3 linked regions of the Lonchura striata genome follow. The protein of the gene in region 2 purifies or fractionates together with the protein of the main gene of each other region. This does not show direct contact. Links are inferred from orthologs where the notes say so. Each region holds a gene or a part of one and is shown on either strand. Other genes may lie near its edges. The genes, in order: AMPD2, RNPS1 and RBM25.

Region 1 (3,744 bases), on a different chromosome or scaffold from region 2:
CCAGAGCAGCCCTGCTGTGAGCTGAGCCCAGAGCAGCCCAGAGCAGCCCAGAGCATCCCTGCAGTGAGCTGAGCCCAGAGCAGCCCAGAGCAGCCCAGAGCAGCCCAGAGCAGCCCTGCTATGAGCTGAGCCCAGAGCAGCCCAGAGCAGCCGTGCAGTGAGCTGAGCCCAGAGCAGCCCTGCCGTGAGCTGAGCCCAGAGCAGCCCAGAGCAGCCCAGAGCAGCCCTGCTATGAGCTGAGCCCAGAGCAGCCCAGAGCAGCCCAGAGCATCCCTGCAGTGAGCTGAGCCCAGAGCAGCCCAGAGCAGCCCAGAGCAGCCGTGCAGTGAGCTGAGCCCAGAGCAGCCCAGAGCAGCCCTGCAGTGAGCTGAGCCCAGAGCAGCCCAGAGCAGCCCAGAGCAGCCCTGCAGTGAGCTGAGCCCAGAGCAGCCCAGAGCAGCCCAGAGCAGCCCTGCAGTGAGCTGAGCCCAGAGCAGCCCAGAGCAGCCCAGAGCAGCCCAGAGCAGCCCTGCAGTGAGCTGAGCCCAGCCGTGAGCTGAGCCCAGAGCAGCCCTGCCATGACCTGGGTGCAGCATCAGCCCTGCCACGGGCTCAGCCCAGAGCAGCTTGGCCATGAGCCGGGTGCAGCCTCAACCCCTGGGCTGGCAGAGAAAGGCTCACACTCAGAGGATTTCCACACTCAGAGCTGAAGAAGTAGGAAGGGAGGAAGGTTTGGGGAGGATAGGAGTGGGAAGGATGGAAGGGAGAACCCCCCCCACTCCCCCAATATACATCCACCCCACCAGACCTGGCAAACTTGGTGCTCCAGACCCACCTCAGCGATCTCCTTGTATTTGCCATCCATGGAAGTGCGCAGATCCACTGGGAAATGCTTCAGGGAATGGGGGGTCCCAGGCAGGGACCAGGCTGACTGCAGGGGTCGGGCCCCTGGCCCCCCCCGCAGCTCTGCAGGGAGTGGGACAACATCAGCTGGGGGGGTCTGGAACCCCACCTGGGCTGGAAGGGGTTAATCAGCCCCTCCACAGCTCCCCCTCCCCACCATGGAACTGGGATGCTCTTCCCAATGGGGATGATGGGGAAACTGAGGCAGCTCAAGGGCAAGAGGGACCCCCCCTCTCTAATCCCCCTGGGAGGGCTGCTGGCTCCATTGGGGGCTGCAAGAAGCCAACAGTGAGTGAGGGGCTCAGGGCCGGGCTGCAGGACCCCCATGGCATGGGGGGCACAACTCTGGGGTCCACTCCCTCCGCCAGTGCTGCCTCCCTGCCCCCATCCCATCCTTTCCATCACAGGGGAGGGGAGGTGACATCGTCCCCCCTCCAAACACCTCCCATTGCCCCTCGCCCCCCTGCTCCCATCAGCACGGGGCCATCGGGCTGGGGGGTGCCCAGTGCCCCCCCAATGCCAACACCCTCCTCTGCGACCCCAAACCCACCACACACCTGCCTGGGGGGGCACCGAAATCAGGTCCTACTGGTTAAACTGGGTCCACCAGTAAGAGCCCCTCCACCCAGCACAGCCTGGGCAGAAGATCCAGGTCTCCTGAGCCCCGAATTTGAGCCTCCACCCCACTGGAAAGTGTGGGGGGGCTGGGGTGGTGTCACCCAAGGCAGGGATGGCACTGGTGTCAGCAGGATGTGCTGCTGGTGCCTCACCTGGGGCATGGTGTCACCCAGGGTAGGATACATCCTATGCTGCCCACATGTGACAGGTGGCAGCCCTGGTGGCACTCCGAGACTGTCCCCAACACGGGTGCCAGACAGATGACAACCCCAAAGTGCCACCTCGCCCGCCTCGTGCCACCATCCAGGCACCCTGTGCCACCCACCCAGGACAAATGTGGGTCACCAGAGCCAGGGGCAGCGCCGGTGACATCCCTAGACCGGCCAGAAATACCAGCCAGGTGACAACCCCGAAGTGCCACCTCACCCCGGTGATATCACTGCCACAAGCACCCTGTGTCACCAGCACCGTTTGCCATCCACCTGGAACACGTGTGCCACCCACGTGTGGGTGACACGCCGAGACCCTCTCTCAGCAGCGCCAGCCGGGCGCCAACCACAACGCGCCACCTTGCCCACGCAGTGCCACCGCCACGCGGGATCGCCCCCCTGCCCCTCCAAACCGGGCCCGCCCCCCACACCCCCCAGCGCTCCCCTCCTTCCTCCCCCTCCTCTTCCTCCGCTCTCACTGCGCCACCGGGGCGCTGGCGGGAGGGGACACGCAGGGTCCCCGCTGCCACCCTCCCGGTGCCGGGATACGGTGCTGGCTCCCACCCCGCCACAAACCCTCCGAGCATCCCCCGCAGCCCACACCGATCCCCCCGGCTCGCCGCACCGCGCCCCCCGCGCTGGGCGTGACCTGCGTGTCCCCGTGGGCTGCGGGCTGTTTTTGGGGGGAGGTCTCACCTGCGGGGCTGGGGGTCTGCAGGCTACCCCGCTTCTTGAAGGGACACTTGGCCGGGGGGGCAGAGGACATGGCGGCTCCAGGGGGGCCGGGGAGGAGCGGAGGGGCTGATGCTGGCGGTGATGATGGTGATGGTGGTGATGATGGTGATGGGGGCGGGGGGTGACGAGGGGCGCCCGGGGGACTCTTACGGCGGCGGGGCCGCAGCGGCCGCTCCCTCCCCTGGTTGATGATTGATGCAGGAACCCGGGAATGGACCAAAGTCCCCGGCGGGGCCCGGCCGGAAACCGGGACGAGGAAGAGGATGGGGCGGGCGGAGGATGTGGCGAGGAGGAGGAGGAGGAGGAAGGAGGTGGCTGCGGCGCTGGAGGGTGGAGGGGGGGGGCAAGACCCGGGATGGGGCTGTGAACTACGGGGGAGCGGGGCCGTGACAGCCCCGGGCCAGCCGTGGCCCCCCTCTCGGACAGCCCTGAAGCCCCCCGGACAAACGTGACACCCCCGGAGCAGCGCTCTGTACCCGTGTGGGGTCAGCCGGGACCCCCCCGGGTAACCCCCGGCCCGGAGAGCCGGGACAGCCGCCGCAGGCAGCTCTGTACCTCGGTGGGACCCCCGGGACGGCCCCAAGCCCCTCCCGGGGACAGCCCAACGTCCCCCCAAAGCGGGCATCGCACCCCCGCGAGAGATGGGGTTGGACCCCCCAAAGTGGCAGCGATGCTTCCAAAATAGGGTAACCAATCCCCCTGCCCACCCCCGAACAGGCACTGCTCCCCAAAATGACAGGGTGTCGTTCTTCCCCATCCAGAGACTGGCTCTATCCCAGTGGGAATCTCTGTGTCCCCCAAGGGGCACGGTCACCCCCGGGATGGGCATCCCCCTCCCCAGGGCTGAGGCTGCACCCCCAACACAGACCGTCACCCCCCGTTAAACATTGTACCCCCAAAGGCACCGGGTACCTCCGAAATCATCCAATACCCCCCAAAAATGGGGTATTTCCCCCCCAGGTATGGTACCGCACCCCAAAAGAAGGACTCGCGCTCCTGCAGCACTCCCCGGCTCACACCCTGCTGGGGGCTGCCCTGAGTCCCCATGGGAATGTCCCCAAGGAGCCCCTGCCCCCCAGCCCCCCAACTCACCCCCCAGCCAAACTGAGGGCCACCCAGGGGCAGACCCGGCTGCGGGGCTGTCACCTCTGCCACCGCCTCGGTCCCCGCGTGTCCCTACCTGGGCCGGGGCTCCCGGTGCCGGGTGCCTCTGGGTGGCTGTCGGGCTGTGTCCCCTCCGAGCGCCCCGAGTGTCCCCTAAGCTGCCACCGGCGCAGGGGGGTATTTTTAGCCGCTGTTA
Region 2 (3,744 bases):
AACCTGTGATACAGATCTGCCTCTAACATTTTAATAACCTTTAAAGGAATGTGACACTCCCAACTACCAAAGAATTAAACATCCCGGGAATGAGTAGAAGCTTGTTGGAGCTGCCAGCCTTATCTGCAGCAGCACCAAATATGCACTGTAATGTGGGATATTGGAAACATCTCCATCCCCATGTACATCACAGGCAAACTCAGTGAACAAGAAAAAAACTTCACCAGCTCACAGCATCAAACAATCTTTTTCCTTCTGTGCTTCTGATCAGCAATTACTTTATTCTCTGAATTGCAATTAAATGCATGGTTGGGAAGAGATTACTTCTGAACAGCCAAACTTGCTTTCCTGATTTTCAGCTTCACAGTTTTCCCTAATACACCAACTGCAAGAAACAACACAAATGACTATTCACAAACCCAGCTCCCTGCAGAAACCAAGAAACACCCATGGCCTTTCTACATGGAGGACAAGAAACCCACACCACAGATGTGCCACTGGCAGAAGCTGCTGGGAAAGGAAATGCCTCCTCTAGCACCAGCGGCAGGAAGAAAGCAGTTATGGACTGTCCCACAAGCATCGCAAAGGGATCCAAGACAAGCAAACCTGTGTATATCACTCAGCTTTAGGATATTTCTATCCAGCTCCGTGCCTCTCCAGTGCAAGCTCTGAGGGGCATACAGATTGTAAAGCCACTGCATGAGCCCAGCTGGGTGGTACAAAACAGACAGGTTTTCTGGTCTTGTGAAACCAGGAACCTAAGATTTTTCCTTTCATAAAATCACAGAATCGCTGACTGGTTTGGGAAGGCATAAACCTTAAAACTCATCACTTTTCAACCCCCCAACTATGGTCTTTGCTACACCAAGTTGCTCCAACCTGGCCTTGAACACTTCAAGGGATGGGGCTGCTCTGAGCATCCTGGGTCAGGACCTCACCACCCTCACAGGGAAGAATTTTCTTCTAATCTCTAACATAAACCTGCCCTCCGTCAGTGAGAAGCCATTCCCCCTTCTCCTGGCCCTTGTAAAATGTCTCACTCCATCTTTCTTATAGGTTCATTTCAGGTACTGAAGGCTGCAAGTAGGTTACCCATAGCCCATTTTTCTTCTTCTAAATACCCCATAGCCAAGTTTGGTTTATCTCTGCCTACACATCAGTTCCTCCTGCACCTGTGGACTATCAAAGTCATAATGTTATCAGCATACAAAACTATCTGCTAGTGTTCAAGAGTCAGATCTGGTTTACCCCTTCTGGGAGAAGGGAAACGGAAACACAGATAAAGACCAGCATGTTTGCTGTTACCCAGCCTGCTGCTGAGGCAGGAAATAGAATCACAGAATCAATTACATTGGAACAGACCTGAGACCATTAAGTCCAATCTCTGACCCAACACCACCATGTCAACTAGACCAGAGCACTCAGTGCTGCATCCAGTCTTTCCATAAGCACCTCCAGGGATGGTGACTCCACAACCTCCCTGGGCATCCCCTTCCAGGGGCCCAACTGCCCTTTCTGTGAAGACAGTCTTCCTAATGTCTGATCAAAACCTCCCAGTGCATCTTAAGACTGTGTCCTCTTGTTCTGTTGCCCATTGCCTGGGAGAAGAGCCTGACCCCAACCTGGCTACAATCTCCTTTCAGGATTCCCTGCTTACTGCTCCTTAGAACAGGCACTTAGCAGGCAGATCAGCCACATAGCTTTGGAATATTCACCAAATGATGCTACATTAAAGCAGTCTCCAAACTAACCAGTGGTTTTAATCCTTTCTCAGGAATGCCCCTGACCATACTCACTTTAGTTGGAAACCTCACCCTACACAAGGGCATTTTCACCTGCACAAGTTCAGACATTCACTGGAAAATGAGGAAAGAATAAATCACAGTCCTCACACGAGGCTAAATAACATTGCATCTCTAAACTATATGCTTCATCTTTATAATCAAAAACCTCTCACTGTCTAAAAAATAGCTGGTTTAGGGGCATCCACCCTACAACAGAAAGTCTAAATTGCAATCTACACAAACCCATCTCACACATACTTCTGCTTTAGAGACAGAATCTGCACACTCAGAGCAGCAGTTCTCTGCAAAAGAAGTAAAGTCGCTGCCCTCAGGCTTCCCTTAAGGCTATAGGCGAGTTCTTTACTGACAGTTTGCTCCAGGTCTTCAGCTGCAAACCGGCAGAATTCCAGGTGTGAAGAGGGTTCGGCGCCCGGCACTTCTCTGTCCACTACGGCCGTTCGGCCCAGCTGTGCGGCCGGCGAAGCGCGGGGCAGCCAGATCCGCCCGCCGTGGGTGCGGTATGGCGCCCGTGGGGCAGGGCCCGCGAGATCAGCACAGCAACCCGTCCCTCGGGCCTGCACAACGCTCCTCCCCGTAGGCCAGGCCGCGGCACCGCCGACACTCGGGCCCGGTTCCACGGCCGGCCCCGCCCCGGCTCTCCCTCCCCTGCCCTCCCCGCCTCTGGCCACGGCTCCGAGACCCCATCCCCGACCCTCGCGCCACCATCGCCTCTCGGCAGCCCCAGCGCACTCCCCCCGGTGCCCCGCGCGGCGGAGGGGCCGGTCGGGCCACGGCCCGGCCGGATGGACGCGGATGGTGCAGCCCCCGCCCCGCACTCACATCCTCGGCCCCGCCGCCGCTCCGCGCTCGTCGCGCGAGATTGACGCGACGGGCGGGAAGGAGCGGCGCCGCGCGCGGTGATGGCGTCACAGCGGGGGCGGGGCGGGCGGACGGGCTTCAAGCGAGCAGGAGCGGGGTGGCGGGGCGGCTGCTGCTGCCCCCGCCGCTGACGTAAAGGTTCTTGCAAACCCTGTCCTGCATAGCCGTGGTAATGACAGTAGCAGCTTGGGCTTCAGCTCTGGGTTTTAAAAGCTTAACAACCCAGTAGGCTGCAGCCCCCACACGTGAATTCTGGCCCACGCTGCCTCAGGCTCACACAGCGCACAGACTCTGATTTGAGGTGGTGGCGGGTGTAGGGATGGCACTACTGTGCGGGGATTTGCCCTCTCAACTGCAAGAAAATTGGGAAGAGGAGAATGAAAGACTTAAGATGGAGCACCATACAGTGGCATTTCATGTCATGTGGGACGGATATCCCTGCCAAATGTGTTTGCTGTGAACTTAAAAGGGAATTTGCCACTGCAGACACTGAACCTCTGACGTCACCACATTGGCTGCCTGACTTTTGACTTGAGAGGAACAAAGCCAGAAGTGTATTTTGATCCCATCCCTAATACAGGGCCTTAAAAGTGACAGATCTTTCTAAGAGGTGTGTCGATCTGCTTATGTGTATGGCCAGAGGCATGTTTGTTAAATTCCTAATGATGGAAGCTTCACCTCTTGAATGCAGTGGAAGGATATGTCCTGTCTACCTCCATCACAGGACATGAGCAAGACCAGGGCAGGTATCTTTAAATTCGTGTGTGGCAACAAGAAAAACAGACTTATTCTCCGTTCTGCTGCAAAATCAAGGGGTATTACATAAAACCTGGCATGGAACAGGTTCAGTAAACAAGAAAACAAACAAAACCCCAAGAAAGCAAAAAGGAAGTTGTTCTTCTGTCCACAACATCTTGTTTAAGGGCAGATTTCTCTCACAGGCAATTTTGTAGTCTACTAAAAGTTCACATTGGTTCGATGAGAAACTGCATTATGTCAAATGGGCACTATTAGTAGACTGTCATGATGAGCTTAGAATCATGGAATCATTTAGGTTGGAAAAGTCCTCTAAGATCATTGA
Region 3 (3,744 bases), on a different chromosome or scaffold from region 2:
ACAGCAGTACAAAATAGTTTGGGATTCACATTTCTTTTTAAGCTGAGCTGTTGTTGTCTGAGACAACACAGAGAAGATTCTGAAAATTTTTGTTATGCCTTTTTCTTTTCCTTGGTTTTCCTAGTATGCTTATAAAATTTTTTAACTATTAACAGTAGTCAGTATTGTAGTTACTAAATTTGTATTATTTTGAGGGAGATATGCCAGCTGTTTGGAATAAGCTGTAATTAATAGAAGGCAAAACTGCTGTTTCTGGTGGGCAAGAAATTGCAGTCAAACTTGAAATATTTCTTAAATCTGCTATTGCTAGAATATCTACCCTTACACATCACGTAAAGCAAGGTGATGAATGGGACCTTAGTTCCAACACAGTTGTTGGCTGTTCAGTAGCACATATGACATCAACCAGATAGTTTTAATCTGCTTTGTACTGAAGAAGTCAGCCTACAGGTGGAGATTTTGTCATTGGACTCTTGTCTTTTGAACACTTTTCTTTAAACAATGGAAAATACAACACATTTTTTTCCCTTACCTAATCCAACATTTTTTAAACAGTTTTATGCACATGGTCATTTTGTGGTCTACCTCATAATAATCTGTAAGATCATGTTCTTCTCATTCATAGTCACTTCCTCTTTCCACTTGCAACTTATTTCCAACAGCGGTATAACTACAGCAATTACTGTCTTGCATGTCATGTTGAAAATTGGCTCTTAATGTAGTCCAAATGCTGAAAGTAGGTCAGAGAAACTACCAGTTGTAGACCATGGCTAGGCCCAACAGCACAGTGACATCTTTCTGACGAGCATGCGGCTGCCTAAAAAGGTAGTGCTCACTCTTTTTGCTGTGTAAATCCTTAAGTCTTTTACAGCACACAGAACCTTCCACGAAAGCCAGCTGTATCCTGGGCTGCATCCCAAACAATGAGGGCAGGTCGAGGGAGGGGATTCCCTGCCTGCGGTACAGCCCGTCCCTGGGCTGGGTGTCTGTCTGAGGGGGCCATGACGGCTGACAGACGGCCAAGCTCCGTGGCCCCGCCGCCGGAGGCTTCCAGGCCCTCGGGCCACCCTGGCCCCGACATGGCGGCGCTCCGGCCGGGTCACGGCCCCGCGCCGCCCCCGCTAAAGATGGCGGCGGCGCGCATGCCCCTTGGCTGCCCGCCTTCCGCCGCCGCTCCACGGCCGGCCGCGGCGCCGCCTGGGGGCGCTCTGGCGCGGCCGGCTCTGTGGTGGCGCGGCGCGGTGCACGCCGGGCCGCTGGCGGAAGAGGCGGGTCACATGACCCCGCGCGGCGCGGCGGCAGCGGCTCGGCGCGGTGCGTTCGCGGCCTAGCGGGGCCTCAGCCGGCCCAGCGCCTCCCCCGCGCCATCCCCGCCCCGCTCCGCTCCGAGGGTGAGACCCGGGGGGCTGCGCGGGCAAGAGGGAGGCAAGGAGGGAGGGCAGGCGGCGGCGGCGCCTCGGCCGCCCGCTGGGCGGAGGCACGGCCGGGACCGGCCGAGGCCGCTGGGCCGCGGCGGGCGCTCGCTGGGGAGGCGGCTCGGGCCTGGACGGGGCGTGGAACGGACGAGCGGCCTCGGGGCGGTGCTCGCGAGACCCGCTCGCGTCGTCTCCCGCTGGGACGCGGAGGGGCCCATTCCGCCGCCCCGGCGAGAGGGACGGGAGCGGCCCCGCGGGAGGCGAGGGGAGCCCGTGGCACGGCCGGGACCCGGAGCTGCGCGGAGCTTTGCTGGCGCCCGGCCGCCTTAGACTGTGGGTGGGATTTTTGCTTTTGCACGTCGGGGAAACCGATCACGCTAGGAAACGTGATATATTGCGACAAGGAAGTTATTGTCTTTAGCGTGGATTGGCGTGGTCTTCTTAAAACACGTGTTGGCAGGTCGTGCGTAAAATAATCGGGAGTGATTCATCCGTGTCGGGAGCCGTTGTGATGTGCACACGGCATGTTTTTCTCATAATGTCTTTTTCCGTTGAAGAAAAAGACCTTTGTCTGCTTGGAGGAGGGGTTTTTTGTTTCAACACAGGGAATATCCTGAACACAACTAACGGTTTTGTTGTTTCTTTTTTTAGGTCTTAAACGGCCTTAGAGAAAGTGAGCTCTCAAAAGTTTTCTATTTCTTAGCCCATTGAGCCTAAAATACACTCACTGAGTATTGGTCCTTTTTTTGTGTGTGGCAGGAAAGCATTGGTTCAGGTATTGCATCAGCATTTATGGGGTGAGTCCAGAGCAAATTATAAGGAAGAATAGCAGAGTTTCTTACTTCCCCTGAGAAGGAGTTTCTGTTTTGGGAAGAGTCAATAGCCAAGTTAGAATGGAAAGTCACTTACTTCACTAACCAGGGTTTTATATAGGTGCAGAGGCATAGAATTAGGAATTAAATCAAATATCTTTTAAGTTCTCATGACATACTTAATGGAGCCCTGCTTAAAGGGCTTTGGGACGGAGGCTTTGGTTGGGGTAAACATGTTGCTTTTTGTGTTGCTTCATAATAACAGGGTGGGATGCAACTATTCCACAGCAGTTACTAAACTCTTTCTAGATGACTTCTGAAAAACAAGCTAGAGCAAGTACTAGTATTTTTGTTTTTAGCTTAGGATACCTATAATATATTTTATCTCTCCCCATGCGTGCGGTGTTTAACATTTAAATCTTGCTTTGCTTGCAGGCCATTTTGGAGAAAACTGTAGGGGTCTGAGAAAATGGTCATTTTCACTGAGGAAACCAGTTGGCTTGGAATAGAAGATTTTTCTTTTAGGGAGCCTTTTTGACAACAAGTAATAATATAAACAGCTTCTTTGTTGGGTGACAAACTAGGAGGTTGCTTTTATAATGGAATGGCTTAAATATCCACCCATTGTGTAGAGACCAAGGCACAAGCCTGTGAGAGTACAGACTTTAACAGAAAAGTTTGTTGTGTATCTTTTCTTCAGCCTGCACAGCCATTTTGTGCAAGTTATTCTAGACTAAAGGCACAGACTTTTTGTGGTGCAGAAGTGTTTTGGGGAAATACTGAAAGGAAGTTAAAATCAGATAAAATTAAATCAAACTATGTCAGCCATACTCTCACTGTTGCTATGTCACCTCATGTATGCATTCCTAAAACACGTGAGTTTTGTGCATTAAGACTTGAGGGGTTTTGCAGTCAGTTTTAACTTTGGTGTAACAGTAGTAAGTATGGTAACTGGTTGCTTCATGGGAACTTTGAAATTGGTTAAGATGTTTTGCAAGTTTCTAAATTAATAAAACTTTTAACACATAAAGTTTCTGATGTATAAACAGAGATACTGATATTAATTCTGTAACAGTGGTAGAATTATGATGCTGCCTTAAGTAGATGATGGGATTATCAATTTAAAATACCTTCACTGCCAGCAATTTTTATTGAGTTTGCATTCTGCTTATGACATATCTCTTCACCTCTGTTTAAAAAAAATGGAGTCAGTAAAACAGAAGGTTAAAAAATACTATGATTTAAAAAGAAATTACTGTGTTAACAGTGCAGCCAGACCAGTACAATCTCAGTCCCCTCTTATTGGGACTTCTAGGAGTCAGAGATGATAAAGAAGAACAAGGCAGCAGTGTCTGGGTGATGGTGATCCTTGTTTCATAGTAGTTTTGAGTTCTGTGTGGACTCAGACACTTTCTTCCAGCCCTAAGGTGAGCTCTCTGCGTTTGCTTAGTTGTAAATCAGCCAGAATGCTCCTAGTGGACAGAGCTCCATCCCAGCAGGCATCTCATCATGACAAG

The links.
Region 1: the proteins of RNPS1 (region 2) and AMPD2 purify together in Homo sapiens (co-immunoprecipitation; 3 studies listed by BioGRID and IntAct, with this or other methods). This does not show direct contact. The link is inferred for Lonchura striata from reciprocal best matches to the Homo sapiens genes RNPS1 and AMPD2.
Region 3: the proteins of RNPS1 (region 2) and RBM25 purify together in Homo sapiens (affinity purification with mass spectrometry; 3 studies listed by BioGRID and IntAct, with this or other methods). This does not show direct contact. The link is inferred for Lonchura striata from reciprocal best matches to the Homo sapiens genes RNPS1 and RBM25.

The regions. Positions count from the first base shown.
Region 1 is NC_134632.1:1,136,230-1,139,973, reverse strand, and holds the start of AMPD2 (AMP deaminase 2), read right to left. Parts: upstream 2,505-3,744; 5' UTR 2,476-2,504; coding exon 2,406-2,475; intron 946-2,405; coding exon 815-945; intron 1-814. UniProt on the Homo sapiens protein: AMP deaminase plays a critical role in energy metabolism. Catalyzes the deamination of AMP to IMP and plays an important role in the purine nucleotide cycle.
Region 2 is NC_134618.1:1,871,605-1,875,348, forward strand, and holds the start of RNPS1 (RNA-binding protein with serine-rich domain 1), read right to left. Parts: upstream 2,674-3,744; 5' UTR 2,627-2,673; coding exon 2,625-2,626; intron 1-2,624. UniProt on the Homo sapiens protein: Part of pre- and post-splicing multiprotein mRNP complexes. Auxiliary component of the splicing-dependent multiprotein exon junction complex (EJC) deposited at splice junction on mRNAs.
Region 3 is NC_134608.1:35,556,032-35,559,775, forward strand, and holds the start of RBM25 (RNA-binding protein 25), read left to right. Parts: upstream 1-1,276; 5' UTR 1,277-1,391; intron 1,392-3,744. UniProt on the Homo sapiens protein: RNA-binding protein that acts as a regulator of alternative pre-mRNA splicing. Involved in apoptotic cell death through the regulation of the apoptotic factor BCL2L1 isoform expression.